Stegostoma tigrinum: one gene and its partners. The protein of the gene in region 3 interacts with the protein of the main gene of each other region in a biochemical or structural test. Links are inferred from orthologs where the notes say so. Each region holds a gene or a part of one and is shown on either strand. Other genes may lie near its edges. The genes, in order: fbxo18, sem1, rad51 and tyrosine-protein kinase ABL1-like.

Evidence for each region.
Region 1: the proteins of rad51 (region 3) and fbxo18 form a complex in vitro, tested with the Homo sapiens proteins (2 studies listed by BioGRID, with this or other methods). The link is inferred for Stegostoma tigrinum from reciprocal best matches to the Homo sapiens genes RAD51 and FBH1.
Region 2: the proteins of rad51 (region 3) and sem1 form a complex in vitro, tested with the Homo sapiens proteins (2 studies listed by BioGRID). The link is inferred for Stegostoma tigrinum from reciprocal best matches to the Homo sapiens genes RAD51 and SEM1.
Region 4: the proteins of rad51 (region 3) and tyrosine-protein kinase ABL1-like form a complex in vitro, tested with the Homo sapiens proteins (2 studies listed by BioGRID). The link is inferred for Stegostoma tigrinum from reciprocal best matches to the Homo sapiens genes RAD51 and ABL1.

The regions. Positions count from the first base shown.
Region 1 is NC_081378.1:11,774,627-11,781,740, reverse strand, and holds the start of fbxo18 (F-box DNA helicase 1), read right to left. Parts: upstream 3,013-7,114; 5' UTR 2,801-3,012; coding exon 2,732-2,800; intron 1,647-2,731; exon of another isoform or gene 1,578-1,646; intron 693-1,577; coding exon 650-692; intron 1-649. Other genes in the region: ankrd16 (ankyrin repeat domain-containing protein 16), read left to right, coding at 4,224-4,561. UniProt on the Homo sapiens protein: 3'-5' DNA helicase and substrate-recognition component of the SCF(FBH1) E3 ubiquitin ligase complex that plays a key role in response to stalled/damaged replication forks.
Region 2 is NC_081355.1:83,549,997-83,557,123, forward strand, and holds the start of sem1 (26S proteasome complex subunit SEM1), read right to left. Parts: upstream 3,016-7,127; 5' UTR 2,950-3,015; coding exon 2,874-2,949; intron 1-2,873. UniProt on the Homo sapiens protein: Component of the 26S proteasome, a multiprotein complex involved in the ATP-dependent degradation of ubiquitinated proteins.
Region 3 is NC_081363.1:81,845,196-81,852,649, reverse strand, and holds the start of rad51 (DNA repair protein RAD51 homolog 1), read right to left. Parts: upstream 3,004-7,454; 5' UTR 2,447-3,003; intron 1-2,446.
Region 4 is NC_081382.1:41,442,827-41,450,171, forward strand, and holds the start of tyrosine-protein kinase ABL1-like, read left to right. Parts: upstream 1-4,338; 5' UTR 4,339-4,913; coding exon 4,914-5,046; intron 5,047-7,345. UniProt on the Homo sapiens protein: Non-receptor tyrosine-protein kinase that plays a role in many key processes linked to cell growth and survival such as cytoskeleton remodeling in response to extracellular stimuli, cell motility and adhesion, receptor endocytosis, autophagy, DNA damage response and apoptosis.

The DNA of each region.
Region 1 (7,114 bases), on a different chromosome or scaffold from region 3:
ATTGCTGCAGTCCACCTTGTAGGTGATCCATGCTGTTGTTTGTGTGATCTAGGTGGAGGAACTGCGTGTTTGAGATTGGAATTGGGATGCCCATTAGTACTTTGTCCTGGATGGTGTCTGGTTTCTTGCTTGTTGTTGGAGCTACACTCATCCAGGCAAGTGTACAGTTACAACATTTAAAAGACATTTGGATAAGCACATGAATAGGAAAGGTTTAGAGGGATTTGGGTCAAACATAGATAAGTGGGACTGATTTAGTTTGTCAGTGTCATTTAGTTGGACCAAAGGGTCTGTTTCCATGCTGTATGACTGTATAAACTCGCTGGTTACCTGGGTCTTTAGCCCTACAAGCATTGAGCCTCCCTGCATCTTGATTTCAAAGTACTCCTCATTTTAATCAATATCACCACTTAAAACAAACAGTTAAACAAGGCTGGGAACTATTTCACTTCTTCAGATCTTAAATAAAGACAACAATATTGAAATAACATCATTATTTTCAAATATTTGTCTTTTTTAGGTTAATTAGTTATTCTTCCAACATTCTACTTCTAAATCCAAACTTTAGAAAATAGCCGAAGTTATTAAACAGAACAGCATACAATTCAAATGTCATTGTATTAAAAAGCAAGGAAACAGGTTTACTCACAAAGAATCATTGTAACATTGCTGCTCCTGTGATTTTGGTTAAACTGTAAAATAAGAAAACAAAATTGAAATTTTAGCAGTTACCGCCCCACAACCATTTTCAAGTGGCTGACTAGACCCTTCTAGCTCCAATGCCAGTCTGTACCAAATCAGCTGGTCACAATTTTACTCCCCCATGGTCAGCTGGTGAACAGTGCCCCTCGGTTAAGAGGTAAGTGGCAAGTGTGAATATAGAGATCCCAACAAGCATTGAGACAAGGCTTGTATGATTGAACAGATATCACACAATTGACAAGCACAGCAAGAACTAATACAGCCCTCAGTGCCTGTGCTGGGTTTCACTTGGAAGAGAGACACAATTATTCCCACATGGCCTTGACAGTTTTTTATTTCCTTTCAAATACTTAGTTAACTTCTGAAAGCTACTACTGAATCTGCCATATCCATCACCCCTTCAGACGACCCTGTTGCAAAGTTAAAGACTCCATAGTTCCAGAGGGCCATATGGATGCTCTCTCAATAGAAAGCGATGATGGATTATAATTAACCTGAGGGCCACCATGCCTCAGGCAAGGGGCAAGGTTGAGAAGGTGGAACATTCATGGTAACCTCAGCCTTTCAGAAACTGAACCCACACTAATGATATCACTCTGCAACGCAAATCAGCTATCCAGCCAACTGAGCTAACTAACCCTGAGCAATTACAGAAACCAACATTAGTTTGAAAATCCCCTTGTTTTAACCTCATTGGCTTGCTTGTCAATTTTCTCCACCATGCAGAATCACAGAAATGTCATGGTCCAAAAGGAGGCCTCTACTGCTTTCCCCCCACACCTTTATATATTATTTTTATCCAAATAATCATCCAATGGTCTCTTAAATACCTCAACATGTTGTTGCAGTTACACAGGGTCTTGGTGAGGCCATACCTAGAATTTGGTCTTCCTTTCTGAGGAAGGATGCTCTTCCTCTCGAGGGAGTGCTGCAAAGGTTTACCAGGCTGTTTCCGGGGATGGCAGCTCTGACATATGAGGAGAGACTGATGACTTTGGAATTGTTTTTGCTGGAGTTCAAATGAATGAAGACGGAATCTCCTCAACACAGGCAGCACGGTGGTTCAGCGGATAGCAGTGCTGCCACACAGCGCCAGGGACCCAGGTTCGATTCCACCCTTGGGTGACTGCCTGTGTGGAGTTTGCACATTCTTCCTGTGTCTGCGTGGGTTTCCTCCCACAGTCCAAAGATGTGCAGGGTAGGTGGATTGACTATGCTCAATTGACCATAGTGTTCAGGAATGTGTGGGTTAGGTGAGTTGTAGGTGAATGGGTCTAGGTGGGATGCTCTGTGGGTCGGTGTGGACTTGTTGGGCTGAAGGGCCTGTTCCACACTGTAGGGGTTCTATGTTCGACACAGACTCATAAAATTCTAACAGGACTGGACAGGGTAGATGCTGGGAAGATGTTCCTGATGGTGGCTGTGTCCAGAACCAAGGGGGTCACAGTCTGAGGATTCAGGGTAGATGATCTAGGAGGGAGATGAGGAGACATATTTTCATCCAAAGAGTGGTCAGTCTGTGGAATTCATTACCACAGGTAATAGTCGATGCCAAAACATCGAATGTATTCAAGAGGCGACCAGGCACTTGGGGGGCAAATGGGATCAAAGGTTATGGGGAGAAAGCAGGATTAGGCTATTGAGTTGGACGATCAGCCATGTTCGTGAAGAAATCCCTGGGTCTGCGTGGGTTTCCTCCCACATTCCAAAAAATGTGCAGGCTCGGTGGATTGGCTATACTAAATTGCCCTGTAGTGTCCAGAGATGTTTAGGTTAGGTGGGTTAGACATGGGGACTGGGTCTGGGTGGGATGCTCTTGGGAGGGGACAAACGGCCTGTTTCCACACTGTGGGTATTCAATGAATTCTATGAATGGCGAAGCAGGCTCCAAGCGCCAAACGGCCTCCTCCTGCTCCTATCTTCTACGTTTCTATGTTATGAAATCTGTCTCCGCCACACTTTCAGGCAGTGCATTCCAGACCCTAAATACTTGCTGTGTGAAAAAAGCTTTTCCTCAGTTCATTCTTACTTCCTTTGCGAAACGCTGGCCTTTTGTTCCTTTTGTGTGTCGGAAACTGCTACACCCTATGCATTCCATCCATCATTTTAAAAACTTAAATCGGATCTGCGCCTTCTTCGCTCCAAGGAGGACATTCCTAATTTCGTCAATCTATCCTCATATTTCAAGTCCCTTCTGCCAGCAACCATTCTTGTAAACCGATCATTTGGGAAACAAGAGTCCGGCTAGAGTTTGGGAAATCCAGCCTTAGGTAGAACTCAGTTTGATATCATGCAAAGGTCTGCACGGGAAACTCCATCTAGGGGAACCTGCTGCTGAGTTAATATGCCACTCACCATATCCAGGGCACTCAATGGTTAAATGATACAAGGTGGAGTGCATGCAAGTTTCTCGCTTTGTTTTTCATCTCTGGGACATATCAAATCCAGACTTATTTCCACCCCAGCTTTAGAGCAATTCCAAACTGCTCAGTGAGTACTTCCGGAGTCTATTCCTCCCTAGATGCTCTCACGGCTACCAGGAACCACACACTTTATTTGCTTGCTGTCTCTGGACGACTACTTAGAAAATCCACGGCTGTCAGTTCGCAATCAGCAGTAGGTGGAATCTTTCTGAGCAAGCGTTGATCTCATTTAAGGACAACTGTCAGCTTTCCGTAGGTTTGTTGAAGCTTCTCTTTCTCCAACTATCTCTCTTTCTGGTGATCTTTTTCGCACCGTTTTCTATATTTCGGAAGCCCCACCACGCTCTTCTGGTTGACATACGCGCTGCAAATACTCGGATACTTTTGAGAATCCCTGCTTTCCATTATCTTCGACTGCAAGTTTCCTGGAAATATTGCCAACTTTTCCCTTCAGATACTGACTCTTTTCTCGGGGATCCCCTGCAAATATTGAGACACTTCAAGGGATTCCCTGTAAATGCTGATACACTTCAGAGGGCCCTTGCATAAAGGGTTCCCCCAAAATGTTTGGTTATCTGAGGGGTTAAAAATGACGGTTCATTCCATATAAACATTTTTAACTGTTCAGAGTTTTTATTTTTAATTGTTTGAAATGCAGGGTGAATCAAATTGCTACTCACAATGATTGCACATAGCTCCAAGAAGTTAGCCGGCCCTGTCTTTTCCCTGATGAGCAATTCTAGCGTTTACCAGCCTAAGGACTCACAGGGAATGTTTTTAGTCGGTCGTTGTTACTCTGGGGGTGGAGCTGGAAGATCTGAGTCTCTGTGAGTGTGTACAGGTTTAAAGAAGGAAGGCAGCTGTGAACAGAGCTCGTGCTTTGTGATTAGGATTAATATTTACAAATAATATCTCAGAGGGTGCATGTAAGCACTGAGGACCTGCCTCTGTGAGGGAGTCTTAGGAGAGAAACTGAGGAAATAAAGATTTGGAGATTTGTATTAGGTTTTGCAGCAAAAGCAGATGAGTTTGTCATCAGATTGTTACAAGTGAGACGTTTTTTCTTGTCAGAGCAATTTCTTTTGAGGATTAAAGCTGATGACTTGTGAAGGCAAAGTCAAGCATCTCATTAGAATAATACAAGAAGGCAGTCTTTCCCATCTCAAAGAGGAACTGGGTAAGGGTGAAGCTGTTCTGGATACAGTGTTGAAGGGTCACTTTGGGAGATCGGGTGACACAGTGCTGCATTATGCTGCCAGGTATGGGCACCTGCCAATCCTGAAATACCTGGTGGAGGAGCTCGGTGCCAACATTGAGCTGGTGAACAGTGATTACAAACGAGCTTTGCATGAAGCAGGGTCCATGGGTCACAGAATGTGTGTGAGGTACCTGCTAGCCCAAGGAGCCAACGTTGACTGTTTGAAGAAAGCTGATTGGTAAGTGGCAGCGCTGTTGGGTAACGGAGAAGAAACTGCTCATCTTTCTCGTTTGCCCGAATTGAAGATTGTCCGCATCATAGGGAGGTGTTGATGTTTGTATTAATGTCATTGGACTAGCAACCCCAAACCTCAGGTTAAAGTTGTCGGGACCTAGGACTTGAATTTCTCTATGGCGCACGGTAGAACTTTAATCCAATAAAATATTTAATTAAAGTCAACCTAATAGTTACCATGAAACCATTGGCAATTGTCATCAAGAACCATCTGGCATACTAATGTCCTTCAGGGAAGCAAATGTGCAGTTCTTACCTGGTCTGGACTATGTGTTTGATTTATTTAAGTTATTTATTTATTACCACATGTATTTTGTTACAAAACACAGTTAGAAGTGTTGCACAGTGTCACCACGCTCTGGTGCCATTTTAAAACACATAAAAACCAAAACATAGAATGTAAATGTAGAAAAATAAAGGAAATGTATTCAGCTTTACAGTACATGGCCCACAGCAACATGCTTGACTAATAACTGCCTTCTGAAATGGCCTAGCATGCCACTCATTTCAAGGGCAATTAGGGATGGGTAAGAAAAACTGAGCTAGTCAGCAGTGCCGTCATCCCAGGAAAGAATTTTTAAAATCTTGAGCTATTCCCCTCCCAGTTGGACAAGGAATGAACTCCCTTTCAGATCAGTTAAAAAAGATGCATACAAATGTATGAATTAGGAGTAGTAGGCCACTCAGCCCCTAAGGTGCGTGGCACTGTACAGTAATATCATAGCTGCTCTGATTACTTCCCATTCCCCTCATCCCAAAAATCTCTTTACTCTTTTCATTATCAAAAATCTGTCTATCCCTGCCTTAAAAATATTCAAAGACTCTGCTTCCACGGTCTGTTGAGGAAAAGACTCATGAGCAACACTATGTGAGAAAAAGGTTTCCCCTTATTTCTGTTTTAAGTGCATGACTCATTATTTTCAAACAGTTCCCCCTCAGAGTGGATTCTTCTATGAGAAGAAACCTCCTCTCCACATCCACCCTGTTAAGACTCCTCAGGGTCTCGTATCTTTCCATCAAATTGCCTCTCACTCTTGTAACCTCTGGCGAATACAAGCCTAGCCTGTCTGATCTTTCATCATAAGACACCCGTTCTAAGTATTTGTCTAGTCAACCTCTCTGAGCTGCTTCCAGCCCATTTACATCCTTAATTAAATAAGGAGACCAATATCAAACACGTAAATAAGCACATAAAAAGATTGCACGTCACTATTTCAAGGAGAAGTTGGAGAGTCCCCTGCAATGTCCTGACCAATATGTAATCAATCAGCCAACATCATTAAAACAATTATCAGGCCATTAATTCAATTACTGTATGGGATCTTCCTATGCACAAACTGAATGCTTCCACTATCACAGGAATAATTATTCTGTTAGTGATAAGTAGTGCCTGCAAAGCATTTAGAAAAGTCTGTTCTTCCTCGGATCTCTTAGATCTACCTGCCTCCGTTTACTGTCTTACTTGAAAGGTAGAATCTCTGACAGTTGCACTATCTCTGTAATGCACAAGAGTGTCAGCCTTTGGCTATGAGCTGAAGAGTGTTCTGAACCTTTTTTAACCCTCTGACTCAGAGGTGGGAGTGTGATTAACTGAGCCACAGCTGATAGCTAGTTGGCATATAAATGTTTGGAAATCCAATGTGGACACAATGGGCCAAATGGCATCTTTCTGCACTAGTAAATCTATCATTCTGTTAACCCACCTTTTCTTTTTGGTCATTAGTAAATACAGATGATTTATTTTCCCTGGTTTATATTCTTGTCGTTTCAATTCACTAGGTTCTGTTAGTATAGAGATTTCTAATTTTGTATGTGAAAGGGTAATGTTCACAATATCAAAACACCAAACATGAAAGTCAATGTTATCATGTGACCGGCCCTTTTGCAGTAACAACTTATATTTTGGTTATAGATAACGTCAATATAGAATTGTTTCGCAGCCATGTACTTACAGCTCTATGACACAAGATGGTGCTTGAAAATGCATTGAACAACAAAGGTGCAAATCATTATGACAAAACTTGAAGCAAAGGCTGAAAATATTGGAAATATTCACTCTGTCAGGCATCTTTTTTGCACAGGAATTCATATTCCAGAGGCAAACCCTTCTTCAAAATGGAACAAGTTAAACTAATAACAGCATTTAAATGTTATGTGGAGGTCCCGGTGTTGGACTGGGATGGACAAAGTCAGAAGTCACATGAAATCAGGTTATAGTACAACAGGTTTATTTGAAATCACAAGCTTTTAAAGCACAGTTCCTTCATCAGGTGAAGCCCTATTTAAATAGCGGGGGTGTGGGGGAATGATAACATTGCAATCCTGCCACAATACTCTCTAAACCCAACATGGCCCCAAATACCCCTCCAAGCAACATCCCTACCCCCAATGCAATCCACATACTCCTCCAAACAACACCCTATACAATGCAACCACTGCCTACACCCACACAACACCCATCCTTCATACACAACATCTCCAAAATGCCCACACACCC
Region 2 (7,127 bases), on a different chromosome or scaffold from region 3:
CACACTCAACAGACTGTAGCACCAAGGAGCCCTGGCAAAACAGGGGTCAATGGGTATTGGAGAAAACTCTGAACTGGTTGGAATTATATCAGGCACATATGAAGATGGTTGTAGTTGCTGAAGGTCAGTCACCACAGTTCCAGGTCTTTTCTCCAAGAGTTTCTCAGGGCAACTCAGAGTTGGGGGTACAGGAAACTTTGTTTTAACTAGCACCTTATGAACCAGCAGTCTCAATAAACTGGCCAAAATTACCTGAATTACAGAACGTTTACTGCATCTCTGATGTCCAAGTAAGCGGTTGAGGGTGCAAATGAGAAGCTGGTAAGTTTTAAGGCAAAACTGCTTCATTATTTACAAGATTTATGTTGTAAATAAAGTAAAACAGTGCGGTGTATACGCCCTGCATTACCTGTCTATTACTTTAGTGTTTGTTTTCACATTGATTATGTGGACTTCTTGATCAACTGGAATATTTAATCGACTGGCACACTTCTGGTGCTGGTTAATAAAACCTTTTTTTTCGTACGTACTTGTACCCATTACCTTGATCTTCTAACCTACACTACTGGTCAGAGATTGGAAGATGTTCTCAGAGAAACCTGGCAAGCTGCTGCTGTGTATATTGTCGATATCACACTGCCTGTGCACCAGTGGTGGAGGAAGTGATTCCCTCATGTGGTAGATGGGATACAGTCAAATGAGCCTCTTTGTCCTGCACTAAGTCAGGTTTCTGGAGTGCTGCTGGATCTGTACTCTGCCAAGCAACAAGACAATACGTGTCATGCTGCTGACTGATGCCTCATAGAATGTGGGCAGTCTTTGGGGAAATCAGGAAATGAGTTACTTGCCACAAACTTCCAGCCCCTGACCTGCTCTTACAGCTGCAATATTCATGTCCCATTAAGTTTTTGATCAATCATAATACATAACATGTTGACAAAGAAGATTCAGTAATGGTAATACTGTTGAATGTCAAAGGAAAGTTAGATACCCTCTTGTTGGAAACTGTCAATGCCTGGCTCTTCTGCAACCAATAGGTAACTTGGTTGTAAGCAACACCATCCAGTTCTTGCTGCATGCACAATCTGGGCTGTAAATGGCAAGGATCCTTGGTGAAGTAACCAGCAATGACAGTGACTAGAATACAGCTGAACAGCTGCTGCCAAAGTGCCTTTATGCTGAGAAGCTAGGGCTCCAATACCCACATTCACATTTGTACTTGGCACAATTTCAGCCAGTAGTGAGCAACACCATCTTAGCCTGACCCCACCCCTCCTCGATTGTTGCTGACTTTGATTTTACTGTAACTCCTTTATCACATGTAATCAACTGTTGCCATTCAGTTCAACATTTTACCTGCCATTTTGATCTACTCTCTAGCCTAATTACCGTATCCATTTCTCTTCTGAAGTGTCCAGGGATTTGTAGTGTTATGCGCTATATAAATCCAAATTTTTGTATGAAAAAGAATGCTCTGACTTCGTCACTGGGAGGTATGCATTTATCTAATAATAGGCTCACACTTTACAGTAAAAAAACAAAAGAACTGCAATGCTGTAAATCAGGAACAAAAACACAAGTTTCTGGAAAAGCTTAGCAGGCCTGGCAGCATCTGAGAACAAAAAATAATCAGTTAACATTTCAGGCCCAGTGACCTTTCCTCAGTTCTGAGGGTTAGTATTGTCCCATTATTTCAAAATCAAATTACTCTCAGCGTTATCACCAGTCACCAAGTTTTAAGGCAAATCTTGTGTGGTAGTTTTATTAGAAGCATCTAGAATCAACGGAAGCTCCAGATCAGAATGTTAATGCACTAAAAACTAAACTGCTGGTCACTGAATGGCTATTACAAAGAGAAGCTCATCTGTTGTCTACTCCACTTGATTACTGGCAAAATCTGTAGAATAAAAGATTATGTCCATAGAAACTGTACATTGGACCTGTCACCAAAACTGAAGCACCATCATTGGTAGCCTAGCCTGTATGGCATGGAAGAAACAGGGTGGTTTGAATACTTGCCCTTAGTGCCTCTATTCTAGCCTGTGTCACCACACTCAGAGCCTCCAACCCCAGTCTGCTCTGGCTACGCTGATGACTTGTACCCACTGCTCATTTGGACGAGAGTCAAGGCCTATCATCAGGGCTGCCTGTCACCTGGATGGGTCACAAAACAAACACGAGATGCTTCAGGATAACAAAAGTGTGAAGCTGGATGCACACAGCAGACCAAGCAGCATCTCAGGAGCACAAAAGCTGACGTTTCAGGCCTAGACCCTTCATGAGAGGGGGTCTGGGCCCAAAACGTCAGCTTTTGTGCTCCTGAGATGCTGCTTGGCCTGCTGTGTTCATCTAGCTTCACACTTTGTTATCTTGGATTCTCCAGCATCTGCAGTTCCCATTATCACGAGATCCTTCAGGAAGCAGGTACCTGAACACAGGGGAGCCCATTCTGGCTACTGTACCGGGGGTAGCCCACTGTCGAGAATACCAAACAGTTCAACTTGTGCTCTCTGGTACCAGCTTGGGGCTAATCAAAAATCATAGGTGGACTAGCGAAAACTTTTCAAAAACACATCGCAAGTTTACTTGGAAGGAGGTTGCCTTTGATCGCAGTAACTGGGCAGTTAAGAGAGAGCACCGGGCCCGTTACAATGGTGAGCACTCCCTGAGCTACTTCTGAATCGGGGTGAGACGAGAGTATCGTTATGAACCCCCAATCGCCCCGGGCTGAGGGCCGAACATGTCCCTCCTGTAGCCCTCACCCCTCTATCGCTCCCTGCGGCTCCGCCACGTGAAGACCCACACTAGGCCGCAAGCCCGGGACTGAGGGGCCAGACAGGAACACCCAGAGGAAATGTCCGAACGGTACTCACCTTCGGCGGGAAACTCCTCAAACTCATCGTCCTCCTCCAACAAGCCGAGGTCAACCGGCGCCTTCTTGTCCGACATGATTCAGCAGAACAGCCGAGGGGAGGACTGTGGTACGCTGTGACGTCAGAAACTATCGGGGGCGGACCTTCTAGAGGCTCCGCCCACAATCTGATGCTTCGCTTTTCTCTGAGCACTTAGATATAGTGCCTGTATACTGGCACTGCCTCTTTCATTATATCACATCTTTATGTGCGTATCTTTTCATCAGTGTTTGTGGGTTACATCCAATCGATGAAGTGTTACAGCATAGAAGAAGGCCTTTCAGCCCATATTCTGTACACCAGTTCTCCAAATGAGCATTTCACCAAATGCCTTCTTCCTGCCCTATATGTCATGTAAATGTCCTAGTTGAACCTGCCCGCCACTATTGAGATCGCATATTGCCTAAGTAAAACATTTCTTCATGTCACTTTTGCCTCTTTAGTTAATTACCTTAAATCTTTACCTTTACGGCTGGAAATATCATCTCCCTGTTTACTCTGTCCAGACCTGTTGTGACATTGTCTTCTTCCAGCACGTTCCTGTCAATGTTGTCTTCTCCAAGGAAAACCCTCCAGCTTCTTCAATATCTTCATAGCTAAATTCTACATCCCTTGAGCCATGCCCGTAAATCTCCTTTGCACTCTTTCCAATGCCTTTGCATCCTTTCTAATGTGCAGCATCCAGTACTGGATGTAAAACTCCAGCTGACAAAGCCTCACTGGACTCAAAAAGTTTTCCATTTTTTTCCCACTCAGAAGAATGAAGAGTTGAAAGAAATTAGCTGTTGTGGAAAGATTGTACTGGACACATTAATGGGGTGGCAAGTTGATAAATCCCCGGAACTCGATAGTATATGTCCCAGAATGTTCAAGGAAATGACTATAAAGATATGTGATGCAATGAAGATTATCTTCCAAAATTCTATAACTTCTGAATTGATTTCAGGGGATTGAGAGGTGACAAATATCAACACACTATCTAAGAAGGAATAAATAGACACCTGATTAATAATGTATCAGTGATACTGGGAACTGCAGATGCTGGAGAATCCAAGATAATAAAATGTGAGGCTGGATGAACACAGCAGGCCAAGCAGCATCTCAGGAGCACAAAAGCTGACGTTTCGGGCCTAGACCCTTCATCAGAGAGGGGGATGGGGCGAGGGTTCTGGAATAAATAGGGAGAGAGGGGGAGGCGGACCGAAGATGGAGAGAAAAGAAGATAGGTGGAGAGGAGAGTATAGGTGGGGAGGTAGGGAGGGGATAGGTCAGTCCAGGGAAGACGGACAGGTCAAGGAGGTGGGATGAGGTTAGTAGGTAGATGGGGATGCGGCTTGGGGTGGGAGGAAGGGATGGGTGAGAGGAAGAACAGGTTAGGGAGGCAGAGACAGGTTGGACTGGTTTTGGGATGCAGTGGGTGGAGGGGAAGAGCTGGGCTGGTTGTGTGGTGCAGTGGGGGGAGGGAACAAACTGGGCTGGTTTAGGGATGCGGTGGGGGAAGGGGAGATTTTGAAACTGGTGAAGTCCACATTGATACCATTAGGCTGTAGGGTTCCCAGGCGGAATATGAGTTGCTGTCTCTGCAACCTTCGGGTGGCATCATTGTGGCACTGCAGGAGGCCCATGATGGACGTGTCATCTAAAGAATGGGAGGGGGAGTGGAAATAGTTTGCGACTGGGAGGTGCAGTTGTTTGTTGCGAACTGAGCGGAGGTGTTCTGCAAAGCGGTCCCCAAGCCTCCGCTTGGTTTCCCCAATGTAGAGGAAGCCACACCGGGTACAGTGGATGCAGTATACCACATTGGCAGATGTGCAGGTGAACCTCTGCTTAATGTGGAATGTCATCTTGGGGCCTGGGATAGGGGTGAGGGAGGAGGTGTGGGGGCAAGTGTAGCATTTCCTGCGGTTGCAGGGAAGGTGCCGGGTGTGGTGGGGTTGGAGGGCAGTGTGGAGCGAACAAGGGAGTCATGGAGAGAGTGGTCTCTCCAGAAAGCAGACAGGGGTGGGGATGGAAAAACGTCTTGGGTGGTGGGGTCGGATTGTAGATGGCGGAAGTGTCGGAGGATGATGCGTTGTATCCGGAGGTTGGTGGGGTGGTGTGTGAGAACGAGGGGGATCCTCTTTGGGCGGTTGTGGCGGGGGCGGGGTGTGAGGGATGTGTTGCGGGAAATACGGGAGACGCGGTCAAGGGCGTTCTCGATCACTGTGGGGGAAATTTGCGGACTTCACCAGTTTCAAAATCTCCCCTTCCCCCAACGCATCCCTAAACCAGCCCAGTTCGTCCCCTCTCCCCACTGCACCACACAACCAGCCCAGCTCTTCCCCTCCACCCACTGCATCCCAAAACCAGTCCAACCCGTCTCTGCCTCCCTAACCTGATCTTCCTCTCACCCATCCCTTCCTCCCACCCCAAGCCGCATCCCCATCTACCTACTAACCTCATCCCACCTCCTTGACCTGTCCGTCTTCCCTGGACTGACCTATCCCCTCCCTACCTCCCCACTTATACTCTCTCCACCTATCTTCTTTTCTCTCCATCTTCGGTCCGCCTCCCCCTCTCTCCCTATTTATTCCAGAACCCTCACCCCATCCCCCTCTCTGATGAAGGGTCTCGGCCCAAAACGTCAGCTTTTGTGCTCCTGAGATGCTGCTTGGCCTGCTGTGTTCATCCAGCCTCACATTTTATGAACCTGATTAATAATGGTCTGATTAAACATTGTCAGCATGGATTTGTGACTGGAGAATGGCATTGGATGAAGTCATAGAAGTTATTTGAAGATGAAAATTGACAAAGGAGAGCCAATGGACCAAATACACTTAAATTTTCAGAGGACTTTTAATAAAGTTTTCCACAGGAGGCTGGCTAAAACAATTAAAACACGTGGGAAAGGAGTAATGTACTCACAGAAAAGAAAGGGAATTATTGGTGATTCTTGTGTTGGTAAGCTGTGACTGGTCAGGTACTGTAAGGATCTGCACATGACCCCCAGCTGTTCACAATAAATATTAATGATTTGGAGTTGGAGACCAAATATAATACTTCCAAATTTGCAGATGGTACCAGCTAAGTGAAAATGTTCATTACAAGGAGCTAAAAAGTGTCTTCAGGAAGATTTGGACAGGCTTACCGAATGGGCAACAACATGGCAGATGGAATTGTAATGCGGTAAAATGCGAGATTATCCACTTTGGTAGGAGAAATAGATTTGTAATGTATTTTTTAAATCGTAAGTGGTTGGAAAGTGTAGATGTACAAAGAGACCTAAATATCTTTGATAAGTCACTGAAGGCTAATGTGCCTGTGCAGCAACCAATAGGAACGCTAATGGAATGCTAACCTTTATTATAAGATAATTTTGGGTATAGGAGTACTGAAGTCTTGCTTCAAGATAGTGACAAGCTAATTCTACTGGATACTCACTCTGGTTTCCTTATTGGTTTTCCCAACATCTAGCTTGTTCAGTGGTTTTGGTAAAAAAGAAGTCTGAATATTAATGACGTGAGTTGTGATGTTAACAAGGTGGTTAACAAATGTTTAACCCCATCATAACAGCATAAAAGATGGATTAAGACGATCTCAATATCAAAATGGGCCTTTTCACACATATTCCAGATTCTGCCACACAGCTCACCATAGCTAATATCATTCAGATTTCCTCTCAAACTTTTCCATATGCTTCCACAGAGTTTCAAATAGTGAAGCTGATTTTTAAATAGGGATCCTTAATTTACAGTCTTCCATTAGAGGAAGCATCCAATTCATATCTTCCCTGTCAAGACCCCTCAGGATCTTACATGTACCAACTAAGTCACCTCTTACTCTTCTAAACATTAGCAACAGCATTTCTTATAGGTTAACTTGCCTATTCTGGGGATTGGTCCAGTAAACCACACCATTCTGTACATCCCTGGACACTACAGGGCAATCTTTAAGCATAGCCATGTCTTTGGACTGTGGGAGGAATCTGGAGCACCCCAGGCAGACACAGAGGCTAATCCCCACAGTCACCATAGCTGGAATCAAAACTGGGTCCATAGTGCTGTGAGGCAGCAGTGCTAAGCTAATCACTGTGCCACTATGCTAGTTCTTGGACTTTTGGAATTGCAATAACAAAATGCACATGCCACCGAGTTGGCTCAACCTCACATTTGTTCATGTATTGAACTCGCAAGATTCTCTACCCCGTACAAATCCTCCTGTGACCTGTCTGGAATC
Region 3 (7,454 bases):
TACTGGTTCACTACCCACTCGGGGTGAGACTTCCTCAAAAAACTCCAATAAAGTACTCAGATACGATTTCCCTTTCACAAAAAGTCATGCTGACTCTGCTTGATTTTCCAAATGTGCTGATGTTGCTTCCATAGTAATTGATCTCAACAGATGTCAGGCTAATCAGCCTAAAGATACCTGCTTTTTGCAGCCCCCTCTTTTTTTTGAATAGTCATGTCACATTGGCAGTTTTCGATTCCTCCACTACTTCTCCTGAATCCAAGGATTTTTGGAAAATTACAACCAATACATTCAGTATCTCTGTAGTTACTTCTTTGAGGATTCTTAGCCTCATTAGTGTGCTAATACTACTTCTCTAATGATGGCAATGGTACTTAATTCCTTCCCTGTATTCTTCTGAGTTTATGAGATGCTTGAAGTACATTCCACTATAAAGACTAACACAAAATATTTCACTCTGTTGCTATTTCTTTGTTCCCTCTAACAGCTAGGAGTATTGTGTATCGTTCTAGAATTGACATTATAGAAGGGATGTAAATACACTGGGGAAGGTTCAGTGGAGATTTACCAGGATGTTGCCTGGGCTGGAGAATTCTAATTATGAAAAGAGATCAGATAAAATGGGTAAAAACTGAAAGAACTGCTGATGCTGTACATCAGAAACAAAAACAGAAATTACTGGAAAACCTCAGCAGGTCTGGCAACATCTGCGAAGAGAAATTTTTTTCAGATTAGATTTCTTACTGTGTGGAAACTGGCCCTTTGGCCTAACAAGTCCACACCACCCCTTGAAGCATCCCACCAAGACCCATCCCCTGATAACCCACACACCCCTGAACACTACGGGCAACTTAACATGGCCGATCCACCTAGCCTGCACATCTTTGGACTGTGGGAGGAAACCAGAGCACCCAGAGAAAACCCATGCAGACACGGGGAGAATGTGCAAACTCCACACAGACAGTCCCCCGAGGCTGGAATCAAATCTTGGTCCCTGGCGCTGTGAGGCTGCAGTGCTAACCACTGAGCCACCATGCTGCCCAATCAGAGTTAACGAGTGATCCTTCCTCAGAATTGTTCTGTAGTTTCTCTTTTTGTTTCAGATAAACTTGAGTTGTTTCCCTTAGAGCAGAGCAGACTGAGGAGACAAACATAATTCAGATAAATAAAATTATGAAAGGCATTGACAGGGTAATCAGGAAAAATACTTTTCCTCTTGCAGGGATCAAAGACTGGGGGCACAGATTCAAAGTAAGGGGAAGGCAATTCAGAGGAGATGTGAGCAAAGTATTTTTTTAAACCAGAGGGTGGTGAGAATCTGGACCTCACTGCCTGTAAGGTTGGTCATGGCAGAAATCCTCATAATATTCAACAAGTATTTAACTGTACACTTGTGATGCTAATGCATATCAGGTGTTGGAAAGTGCAATTAGAATAGTTAGGTTGCTGATGTGATTCAGTGCGCTGAAGGGCATTTTTCCGATGCTACAGCCGCAATCACAGAAAACACAACTAACTACAGACAAGTTATTAACATATATTATGGGAAAAGAATGTAACAGCAGAGCATTTAGAAACTCACACTATAATCAAGCAGCATCAGCTTGCCTTACAAATTTCTTTGCTGATGGTACTAAGGAGTGTAGATAAAGAGGATGCAGTGGATACAATATATGTTTCTCATAAAGACATTTGATAAGGTACTAGCATGGTGAAGAATGTGCTAAATCATCAACAACACAGTTGAGATAAAGGGGATATTATCAGGAAAGGGGATATTATCAGCTAAAGGTTGCTAGTGGAGTGCCAAAATGATCAGTGCCGTAGCCACAATGATTTACAATATACGTTAATGATTTTGGATGATGGAAACAAACATACGATCACTAAGTTTGAGGATGGCACAAACAGGTGGGAAGGCAAGAAGTGCAAATGAACAAGTAGTCTACAGAAGGATACAAATTGATTAAGAAAGTAAGGAAAAACTTGGCAGTTGAAATATAATTCGGGAAAATGTGAGGTTATGCACTTTGGCAGGAATAATACAAGAGCTAAATATTATTCAAATGGGGCAAGATTGTGGAAAGCTGCAGCATAGTGTGAATTAGAGTCCTAGAGCATTAATCACAAAAAACTAGCATCTAAGCTTTGTTAGTAATAAGGAAGGCACAGCCATTCCACTGCAGCAGGCATTACAATGTAGCCAACTTTCGAACTCAAGGCCTTGCTGACGGATTGAAGGCCTCTGGATCGACCCTGTCCCTTGCCCAGATCCTCTCGCACCAGCCTGTCGCCGTTAACAATGGCAGGCAGACGGTGGCCAAAGGACAACAAGCTTTAGTGGGGGGTGAAGTGGGGAGTAAGGGAAGTGTCAACAGGCTCCCGGGCTTATACCCTCCGTCGGAGACCGCGACCCCGCCTCTCTTAAGGAATTCGCTGCTTTTACCTGAAAGGCAGAGGCGGCTACTGTGGCTGTCCGTTAAAGCGGGCACGGTCCGCTCGCTCCCTCTGCGTCTCCACTCGGCTCAACTCTTCCAAAACGCGCGCCACTTCTCAGTGACGCAGCCACGCAAGCCGCAAACGTTCGCGGAGTAAAATGGAGCGTGCGCGTCTGTTGTCGCTGTCTGAGAGAAGAGCGCGCCTAGGCCGAGGACACCGGCCATTTTGGGCAAAGCCGTTGGCCGTCAAGAGCTACCGAGATGAATGGATGAGATGGTCTGCGTTGGTGATGTTGACTGAATAAGACTGCCAGACCCGTATCAAACCTGCTTTTGGTGATGTGGATAGAGTAGACCATATAATCCATTTATGTGATGATGGTGCCACCCTTGGTGTGCCAAGACGTTGACCTTCCAGCCTCACATTTGTGCCATCTGTAAGACTGATTTTTCTTTGTTATCCAGTTAGAATAGTCAAGGTTTTTTTTAAACTAGCGCTGATGCAGTGGACCTTTTTCCTGTGCTGTAGACTGTGCCGTTGTGACTCTGAGGAAGAGTCACTGGACCCAAAACGTTAACTGCTATCTCTCCACAGATGCTGGCAGCGCTGCTGAGCTTTTCCAGTAATTTCTGTTTTCAATTGTTATGACTCAGGCCTCGTTAATTTCATTCGAGGATATTCTTGGGAGAGCATCCAGTGAAGTCATTTGGGTAGAACTGCGAAATAAGAAAAGGGATAATTATCTTATTAGGTACTATAGCACGCCCTCCCCCCAAGTGGTTAGTGGGAAATTGAGAAGCAAATCTGTAAGCAGGTCCCAGATATCTGTAAGGATGGTAGGGTTCTAATGGTAGGGGACTTTAACTTTCCAACTATAGCCTGGGACTACCATTGTATTATGGACTTGGATGGAGAGGAATTTAAGTATATACAAAATTTTCTTCTTGGGTATGCGGATGTACCTTCTAGAGAAGGAGCAAAACTTGACCTCTTCAGAGAATGCTGAGAATTTCTTACATCCATGAGTAGCGGTAAACCTATTCAGAGGATTGTTCTTCCTCTTGCCATGTGAAGATGAATGTTTTGAATCTTAGATTGATGCAGAGTGACTCTCAAGAAACTGTCTCTCCCTCCCCCCTCCACCTTCCCCTCCATCCCAACCATCCGGCTGTATAGGCTCCGGAGGCACAATATGAGATGATGTTCCTCCAGTTTGCGTGTGGCATCACTGTGGCACTGGAGGAGGCCCAGGATGAACATGTTAGCAAGGTAGTGGGAGTGGGTGGGGGAGTTAAAATAGTACCTGTTAAGATGTTGTTGATTACAGCGAACAGAGCACAGATGCTCCGTGAATCAGCCATCCGCTTAACGGAACTTGTGCTTATCCTCAACAACTTTTCCTTTAACTCCTCCCACTTCCTACAAAATGAAAGGGTGGCTATGGGCACCCGTATGGATCCGAGATATGCCTGCCTCTTTGTACGATACATGGAACAGTCCCTCTTCCGCTGTTACACTGTCACCATCCCTCACCTCTTCCTCTGCTACATTGATGTCTGTATCGGCACTGCTTCGTGCTCTCATGAGGAGCTTGAACAGTTAATTAACTTTACCAACACCTTTCACCTCCACCTGAAATTCACTTGGATCATCTCCAATACCTTCCCCCCCCCCCCAACTTCCTGCACCCCTCTATCTCCAGTAACCGTCTCAGCACCGACATCTATTTCAGAAACACCAACTCCTGTAGCTACCTTGACTACACCTCCTCTTGCCCACCCTCCTGGAAGAATGTGATCCCCTACTCCCAATTCCACCGCCTCCAACTGCTCCCAAGATGGATTGTTCCACTCCCAGACATCCCAGATGTTCTCCTACTTCAAGGACCGCAACTTTTCCCCTCTCCTCTTGATCCACAATGCCCCCAACCACATCGCTTACATTTCCCACACTATCCTCAAACACTTCCCTCCAAACAAAAGTAAGGCCAGAGTCCCCTTGGCCCTCATATACCACCCTACCAACCTCCACATCCAGCACATCATTCTCTGCTACTTCTGCCACTGTGACCAACTTCACCGCCAAAGAGATATTTCTCTCCCCAGCCCCATCTGCCTTTCATAGAGCCCTCTTACTCTGCGTCTCCCTCATCCAATCCACAATTCCACCACACCTGGCCCCTTTCCCTGCAACTGCAGGTGCTACGTATGCTCCTACACCTCCCCTTTACCTCCATCCAAGGCCCAAGACAAACTTTCCAAATCCGACGGGGGTTCACTTGTACATCTCCAACCTGGTCTGCTGTATCCATTTCTCCCAATGTGGCCTCCTCTACATCGGTGAGACCAAGTACAGACTTGGTGACCAATTTGTGGAGCATCTGCGTTCTGTATGCTATAATCACAACACCTTCTGGTTGCCAATCATTTTGACTTCCCCTCCCACTCCATTGATGACATGTCCACCTTGGACCTCCTCCAGTGTAACAATGACCCCACGCGCAAACTGGAGGATTAGCCTACACCCCGATGGCCTGAACAGTTTCAAAATCTCCCCACCCTGACCTCATACCACTTCCAACCCTGCCATCTTGACCTGACACAACCTGTTCATCATCTTTCCCACCTATCCGCCCCTCCCTTCCTATTACCTACTACCCCCATGTGTATTCACCTTCCCCCAGCTCCACCCCTCCTCCCTGTATTTATTTCCCAGCTCCTTTCTCAGTCTTGATGAAGGGTGTAAAATTGAAACGTCAAATTTCCTGCCCTCTGATGCTCCATAAACTGCTGTGTTTCTTCAGCTCCATGCTGAATTGACTCTGACTCCAGCATCTGCAGTTCTTGGTATCTGAGTGACTGAAAACCACTAACTGTAATGTATTGAGGTTTTTTGTTTTAAGTCCTTAGATGAAGTGCTAGGCAAGAGTTTATTGCACATGTTAGAACTTTGGATTGAAGTTAGTATTTAGTTTATGCAGTAATGAACATTGCTTCTGCCTAACACTGCTGGGACCAGAAGTACTACCAGCTATTTGATTGATCAGCAGATGTCGAAGCTTGGACTTCCTTTCCCTGAAGGGCAGAAATTCCTCTTCTAGCCAATGTTTTCAGTAGCAGCAGAGCAACTGTTTTTCCCCTGGACAAATTCCCTATAAATCAGAGAAGGGGCAGGGATCATAAACTGTAAAATCCTGCCTTGTGTCCTTAAGAGATAGTAGGAACTGGAAGATAATAAAATGTGAGGCTGGATGAACTGGATGTGGGTTTGCTCGCTGAGCTGGAAGGTTAGGGGGCAGGCAGCAAATGGACACAGACCGTTAGAAAATAGATGACAGGTTAGACAGAGGATCTTGATCGGTGCAGGCTTGGAGGGCCGAAGGGCCTGTTCCTGTGCTGTAGGTTTCTTTGTTTCTTTGTTGTTTGTTTCATTCCAGGTAACATCGTCAGTGACCCTCCGATGAAGCTTCATCGGAGGCTCACTGATGATGTTACCTAGAATGGTGACGAAACGTCTGAAAACTAACCTTCCAGCTCAGTGAGCAAACTCACATCCAGAACCTCAACCTGACCTACAAATCTTCTCAAAACTCGCTAGATAGTAGGAACTGCAGATGCTGGAGAATCTGACGTAACAAGAGCTGGATGAGCACAGCAGGCCAAGCAGCATCACAGGAACAGGAAAGCTTACGTTTCGGGCCTAGACCCTCCTTCAGAAATGGGGGAGGGGAAGGAGGTTCTGAAATAAATAGGGAAAGAGTGGGAGGCGGAAAGAAGATGGATGGAGGAGAAGATAGGTGCAGAGGAGACAGATAGGTCAAAGAGATGGGGATAGAGCCAGTAAAGGTGAGTACAGGTGGGGAGTTAGGGAGGGGATAGGCGGTCCAGGGAGGACGAACAGATCAAGGGGGTGGGGTGAGGCTAACAGGTAGCAGATGGGGGTGGGGCTTGAGGTGGGAGGAGGGGATAAGTGGAAGGACAGGTTATAGAGGAGGGTATGAGATGGGCTGGTTTTGCCATGCAGTAGGGGGAGGGGAGATTTTGAAGCTTGTGAAGTCTACATTGATATCATTGGGCTGTAGGCGTGTCAAGCAAAATATGAGATGCTATTCCTGCGACCTTCAGGTGGCAACGTTGTGGCACTCCACCGACACCCTCATCCACTTAGCCAAACTCGTCCTCACCCTCAACAACTTCGCTTTCAATTTTTCCCATTTCCTACAGGCAAAGGGGGTGGCCAGGGGTACCCGCATGGGCCCAAGCTGTGCCTGCCTCTTTGTAGGTTACATGGATCAATCCCTCTTCCATAGCTACACTGGCCGTAAACCCCACCTCTTCCTCCGTTACATTGATGACTGTTTCGGCACCGCCTCGTGCTCCCACGAGGAGCTCAAACAGTTCATCCACTTCACCAACACCTTCCACCCAACCTTAAGTTCATCTGCACCATCTCTGATACCTCTCTGTCCTTCCTGGACCTCTCTGTTTGCATCTCTGGCGACCACCTGGAAACCAATATCCATTTCAAGCCCACTGACTCCCACAGCTACCTAGAATACACCTCCTCCCACAACCTTACTCCAAAAATGCCATCCCCTATTCCCAATCCCTTGCCTCCGCCACATTTGTTCACAGGATGAGACATTCCACTCCGGAACATCTCAGATGTCCTCGTTTTTCAAGGACCACAACTTCTCCCCTTCATTGGTCGGGAACGCCCTCAATCATGTCTCCCGCATTTCCTGCAACTCATCCCTTGCGCCCCCTCCCCGCAATAACAACCAAAACAGAAACCCCCTTGTCCTCACATACCACCCCACCAACCTCCGGATCCAACGCTACATCCTCCGACACTTCCACCATCTGCAATCCGACCCCATCACCAAAGACATTTTTGCCTCCCCACCCTTATCTGAGGGGACCACTCTCTCCGTAACTCCCTTGTCCGCTCCACAGTCCCCTCCAGCCCCACCACACCCGGCACTTTTCCCTGCAACCACAGGAAGTGCTACACCT
Region 4 (7,345 bases), on a different chromosome or scaffold from region 3:
ATGGGGTTGGATGTTATCCGTACCCAGAGTGTATGGCACCTCTGGATTGAACAGCAGATGTTGAGGCTGTAAAATCAATACTGCAATTTCAAATATTCACACTATGTATTCATGACTTAGATGAGGAGATAGCAATGACATTAGATTGGTAGTGTAACGTTGTCACACATACCGCTAGACTAAGTGAAAAAGAAGAGTGGTGGCAAATGGGTTTCAATGCAGGCAAATTGAGACAATCTACTATGGACCTAAAGAGAATAGAACAGGGTATTTTCTAACTGGTGTAAAGCTAGAAACAGTGGAGGCCCAAAACGTTTCCTTGTCCATTGATCTGCAAATCGTCGGGAAAGTTAAAACAAAAATAATCAAAAAAGCTAAGGTCATGGTGGCCATTATCTCTAGACAGGCAACGTACAAGGTGGAGAAAGTTAACAACAGTTATACAAAGCCCCAGTTATACAAACACCTGAACTACGAGCATATCTGGGACCCATGCCTTAGGGTGGGCATTCGGCCTTGGAGGGGTGGAATGTAGGTTTACTAGAATGATACCTGGATATCAAGGACTAAATTACTGGAAGAAATTACACAAACTAGGGCCATATCTCCTGAACTCAGAAAGTTAAAGCATGTGATTCGATTGAAATTTTCAGAATGAAGGCAAGGTATAAGCTGGACTGGAGTCAGTGCAGAACTGTTACCTCTGGGTCAGATGGTTGAGCACATAATGCAGTGCAGTACTGAGGGAGTGTTGCAATGTCGGAAGTGCTGGGTTTTGATTTTGAGGCCTTTCCTGCCCTCGCTGGTGGACATAAACAAATCCCTAGGCAGTGTTGCAAAGAAAATCATGGTATTCACAATGTCTGACCAATATTTATTCCCTAATCCACAACACAAAAATCTGATCATAATCACATTACTATTTGTAGGATTTTTTCAGTGTGCAAATTATCCACTGCATTTCTTCGTTACAAAAGCTGCCAGACTACAAGAGGACTTCATGAGGTGTAAAGTGCTTTTGGACATCCTGTGGTCATAAAACATAGAACATTATAGTGCAGTACAGGCCCTTCGGCCCTCGATGTTGCGCCAACCTATGAAACCAGTCTGAAGCCCATCTAACCTACACTATTCCATTATTATCCATATGTTTACCCAATGACCATTTAAATGCCCTTAAACTTGGCCAGTCTACTACTGTTGCAGGCAGGGCATTCCACGCCCTTACTACTCTGAGTAAAGAACCTACCTCTGACATCTGCCCTATATCTTTCACCCCTCAATTTAAAGCTATGTCCCCTCGTACTAGCCATCACCATCTGAGGAAAAAGGCTCTCACTGTCCACCTTATCTAATCCTCTGATCATCTTGTATGTTTCTATTAGGTCACCTCTTAACCTTCTTCTCTCAGCCTCAAGTCCCTCAGCCTTTCCTCATAAGACCTTCCCTCCAGACCAGGCAACATCCTGGTAAATCTCCTCTGCACCCTTTCCAAAGCTTCCACATCCTTCTTATAATGCAGTGACCAGAACTGTACGCAATACTCCAAGTGTGGCCGCAAGGGTTTGGGGAACAGGGGTCAGAGTAAGAGTGGGTGGTTCAAAGTTGGAGTGGGGGCATCAGGGTATGAATGTCAGTGTTGGAGTTCGGCGTGGGAGTGCAGTGGGACAACAGTGTTCAATTGGGGGTGCCAGGTTGGGGGTGAAGTGCTGGGATCAAAGGGTAGAAATGGAATTGGAGGGCAGAGAGAATGGGAGTTGCAGAGTCAGAGTGGAAGTGGCGGACAAGGTTCAAAATTGGAGTGAGGGTGCAGAGTGAGGAATGGGTATCATAGTGGGTTTGGGGGTCAGCATACAAGTGGGTGTCATAGTAGGGGTGGGGAATAGCAGTCTGAGTGGGGTAAGACATAGTGGGGGTGTCAGAGTAGGGTGCTACTATAAAGGGCTGCTATAAATACAAGTGTTTCTTTCTTTGATATAAACTATTTCTGCTGGTTGTGAAATTGGGGCTAGGGGATATCATCTAAAAATCAGAGTCAGACCTGCCAGGTGTTTGGGATTCTCTGCATCAAATGTAAGTTGATGCTAGTGTGATAGCTAATTTTAATTGGAATTCTGGTAGATTTTTGTTTATGCAAGTTATTAAGGAATATGGGGCAATGGTGGGTCAATAGAATTAGATCACAGATCAACCATAATCCTTTCAAATAGTAGTATGGGATTTATGGACTGAATGGCTTCTTCTTGTTCTGACAAACTCCCTTAAGCACCTTTTTCATTTTGGCCCATTCAGGTGGCTGTCTAACTCAAATAGTAATGCTCCGGTCTTGCAGCCAAAAGCTCTGGTTTCAAGTCCCAGTCCAGACATGTGTATGGTTTGAACAGGTCACTAACCAACCTGCTAACACTTCTCCAAAGGCAATAAAATTTAGGGAGATATGGTTCTAGTGCTTTTAGTCCAGAGGTTCATATCTAGGGACATGAATTCAAATCCCTCAATGTTTGCTAGTGGAATTTGAATTCAAATAATAATTCTGGAAATGGAACCTAGTCTAGCTAGTGGCAAATCTCCTTTGCACTGTCTCTTGTGCAGTCAACATCCTTCCTATAGTGTGGCTAAAAGTATGTCTTCGGAAAGGATGAAGCAAAAACGTGTAAACATACAAAACAAATTTGCACTATCACTGTCAGGGACAGGGCACCGAGGAAGGAGATGAAGTTGTTCTCATGGTCATTTTGGAGAAGATGCCCACTCTGACCCACTCTCATTCTGACCCTACCCCCAACCCCACTCTGACCCATTCCCACTATGACACAACACCACCCCACTCTGATCCACTGCCATTCCTACTCTGACTCCACTCCCTCTTTGACTTACTCCCATTCCTGCTCTGACCCACCCTCACCTGCAGTCTAACACCCTTATCCCACTTTGAACCTCCACTCCCACTCTGATCCCCATAACCCACCCTACTCTGACACCCCCACTATGTCTTACCCCACTCAGACTGCTATTCCCCACCCCTACTATGACACCCACTTGTATGCTGACCCCCAAACCCACTATGATACCCATTCCTCACTCTGCACCCCCACTCCAATTTTGAACCTTGTTCCCCACTTCCACTCTGACTCTGCAACTCCCATTCTCTCTGCCCTCCAATTCCATTTCTACCCTTTGATCCCAGCACTTCATTCCCAACCTGGCACCCCCAATTGAACACTATTGTCCCACTGCACTCCCACGCCGAACTCCAACACTGACATTCATACCCTGATGCCCCCACTCCAACTTTGAACCACCCACTCTTACTCTGACCCCTGTTCCCCAAACCTACTATGATCCACTCTATCCTCTGTTTGCACACGTACTCTGATCCCCACTCTGACCCATGTTTTCCACCTCCACTCTGACTCCTGTCCCAACCCTGATCCTGATCCCTATTTCCAGCCCCTTCTCTGATCTCCATTCTGACCCCTGTTCTCCACCCAGCTCTCTGGCCCCCAACCTCTCTGACACACTCTCCAACCCCATGGGTCAGTGGGATGGGGAATCTGCCTGCCCCAAGGCTGAGACAATCACACCGCCCCTCCAACTTCTCTGAGCCTTTTTACCCCTCCTTTCCCTTCCAGACCTCTAAGCTTTGACCCCACCCTGATCCCATTCCCCTTCCCACTGACCCATGTCCCAACCCCCACCGTGATCCCGTTCCCCATCCCACTGACCCATGTTCCAACCCCCACCGTGATCCCATTCCCCACCCCACTGACCCATGTCCTAACCCCCACCCTGATCCCTGTTCCCCACCCACTCTCTGACCCCCACCCCATCCCCCTTCACACCTACTCCCCACACCATTCTGACCCCTGTCCCAACCCCCACCCTGATCCCTATTTCACACCCCTTCGGTGACCCCCACTCTGACCCTTGTTCCCCATCCCCTCTCTGACCTCCTCCCCCATCCCCTCACTCCAACTCTGACCCCTGTACCCAACCCCTTGTCTGACCCCAAAACCCCACCCCCATTCTAACCCGCCCCCGCCTCCCATGTGACCCCGCCCACCCGATGCACCGTAGGCTCCGCCTTCCATGCCCAACGCGCTGACGTCAGGGGACGCGCGGACGTCAGGCGCACGGTGCGTGGCCTCATTCCGCTTGCCCCGAACATGGCGGATGCCTCCAAGTGAGAGAGCGGGAGAGACGGGGAGCAGTGGCGGCGGCAGCAGCGGCGTCGGCTTCCAGCCCAAGGACTCCTGCGTGTCCCCGCCCACCCAACACATCCCCAGGCGGTGGGGAGGGCGGGGGGTGGGGGGGAGAGTGAAGAAAAAAATGAGTGAGGGGGGGTCTGGCGGGAACTGACTGGTCCCGAAACAGCGCCCCGTGAGGGAAGCCGGAGGGTTGTTCCCCTCCCCCCACCCCCGACACAACCCCCTCCGAAGTGGGAACTTTGACCCCCCCCAGCCCGTGACCCCAAGTTGACCCCAGCCTTTTAACTTCTGCCTGCCCCAAGGCTGAGACAATCACGTCCCCCCCAACTTCTCTGAGCCTTTTTACCCCCCCCCCCCACTTTCCCTTCCAGATCTCTAAGCTTTGACCCATCCTCCCAGCCCCCTGGACGCTTCTTCCCCCACCCCTATGTTCCTATCCCTGGAGCCTAACCTGTGTTTCCCCCTCTGTTTGCCTCAGGTCGTGACCCTTCTCTGCTCCCCACTTTCTTAATAGCCCCGTCCCTGCTTTCTAACTTTCTGCCGTCCTCCCGACCCCAGTGTGTCTCCTTCTGTGGGCACTCACTTCCCTCACCCCTTCCTCCTCCTCCTCCTCCTCTTGCCCACCACTTCCAGCCGTAGAAAGAGTATTTCTTTTTGTATATATATATATTTTTATTATTGCTTGGACCTGGAGTGGATTAATTTATGGGGCAACAACCAGGCAAAGTTCTTGCGGACCAAAGAAGGCCGACACTGCCTGCGCTGCACTTTATCAAAGGAGGAAAGCGAGAGGCATCCAAACATGGAGCTCAGCATTTCAATGTGTTTGTGGAGCACGGTAAGGAGATATCTGATCATTGGATGCACTTGATTGTTGCTGGCATTCCCTTCATCAAGCAAAAAAATAAACATTACAAGCTAGTAAAATCAATCAACCCAAAATATGCTTCATTGCGTGGGATAGGGAATGGGATCAGGGTTATATGTCACACTTGGAAATTAGCAGCATAAAACTTACTTCATAGCCTTTTTTCTACCAGAATTTTGAGATTTCCGTTGATGTCTTTGGTGACCACTACATTCGATTTCATCAACTGCTGAAAATTGTCAACTTGTGCCATTGATTGTGTAACTAGTGTGGTGGTTGTTTGTTTTAAATGTTTGTTGTATTTCTCAGCCTGTTGCTGCGACAGTTTATTGGATGAGTGGAAGAGCAAAAGGTGCATCAGTCACCAGGTTTGAGTTTAGTGTATATGAAATTCTTTACTCACTATTGCTAGAGATTCTTCAATTGCACAGTTATATCAAAAATTTATAAAGAAGAAATCTGAGAGGTCCACCGGTGAGTAGTATTGTTTTTGAAATACAGGTGGATATAGAGGAAATGGCATACTTGAAAGTGATGCTGAACCTAGAGGGAGTACTTTCAGGAGAAAAGAACATCCTAAATGTATAATGTGAAAACATGGAAAGGAACTCTTTAATTTAGTCCCTTGTGTTTTTTGCCAAGGGAGTTGCACCATGATTTTCAGTTGCAGTAATCATTGCATCAAATTACATACAATCTACTGCACATAAACAGGTTATTCCACTCAATATATCTATGCTGGTATTTATGCTGCACAGGAGCCTATACCCATCATACTTGCACTCACTCTATCAACACATGCTTCTGTTCCTTTCTCCTATATGTGCTTTTCTTGCTCCCTATTAAATGCATCTATACTTTCTGTGCAACAGTAAATCCTACATTTCAACCATTCTCTGGATGAAGAGGTTTCTCTAGAAATTTCCATCAGATTTATGTGATTGTCTTACACTTATGCCCAAATGCCATAAGTGGCAATGTCTTCTCTGTGAGTACCCTATCAAATGCTTTCATAATGTTAAATACCTCAATCAGGTCACCCCTCACTTGCTACTCTTAGATTACTCCAACACCTTGAGTTAGCTGGGCATTCTGGAGTGACCATATTTAATGATGCACAGCAGTTGGGATTGGCTCACTGGCTGGTGATTTTGAAGCTGCTTCCGGATGGGTTTGAAACTTTGACAACCACGTGGATGACTGGAAAGTTCTGGACACATTTGTGATGGACGTGGATTAAATATGATAGTCAGTCTTCCGCTGTAGTGCTCCACAAATAGCAATGTGACAATGGCCAGATTCTTACTTTGTTTAGCCAGGTTCTTTCTATTTAATGATTTTAGTTGAGGGCATAATATTAACGAGGTCATGAAGGAGAACTTTTCTGCCTTTCTTCATCAAAACAGTGACATGGTTTCTTTTACACCTGCCTGATTGATATTTCATCCAGTAGACAGCACCTCCAACGATGTAGTATTCTGTATTATCTGTGAGCCTATGTTTTTATCTGAATTGCTGACCAAGAGAAAACTTAATGAATTATGGTACCATTGTGTTATGTTACAGACTCCAAATCCAGGGACTAATGATTTGGAGTCCTACATTCAAATCCCACCACCCTAACCACAGCAACTGAAGAATTTAAAATTACTTAATTGACTAAATCTGGAATTGAAAAAGTGAGTGTAGCAGTAAAGATGACCATGAATCACCGCCTGGTTCGCAAATATCCTTTAGGGAAGTGAATCTGCAGTTTTTAACCAATCTGGCTCGTGAGGATGGATTATAAATATTGGCCCTGTCAGCAACACGTCTATCCAGTGAATGAATAAAAATTACCAACAGGCTGTCCACCAAATTGGCAGTGAAAATCATTTTGCAGAGTATCTAGTATGTTAAAGCATGTAAATATTGTTACTGTGGAGACACAGGAAGAACACATCCCATGCACTGCAACTGAAACAACTAGTGTACAAGATGGCAACAGTTTAAAAACTCACTTGAATTCACGGATTATTGTTGTAGTTTAACCAACTTAAAAGCAAAATACTGTGGATGCTGGAAATCTGGAGTTAAAGTGCTGGAAAATCTGCAGCATCTTTGAATTGAGAAGAGGTTGATGTTTTGAGTCCAATGTGACTTCTTCAGAAATGGACTTAAAAAGATTCATATTGGACTCAAAACATGAACTCCTTTTTTCTCTCAGCAGATGATGCCAAACTTGAGTTTCTCCAGCACTTTTTGTTTTTATTGTTGGGTTGGTTTTCTG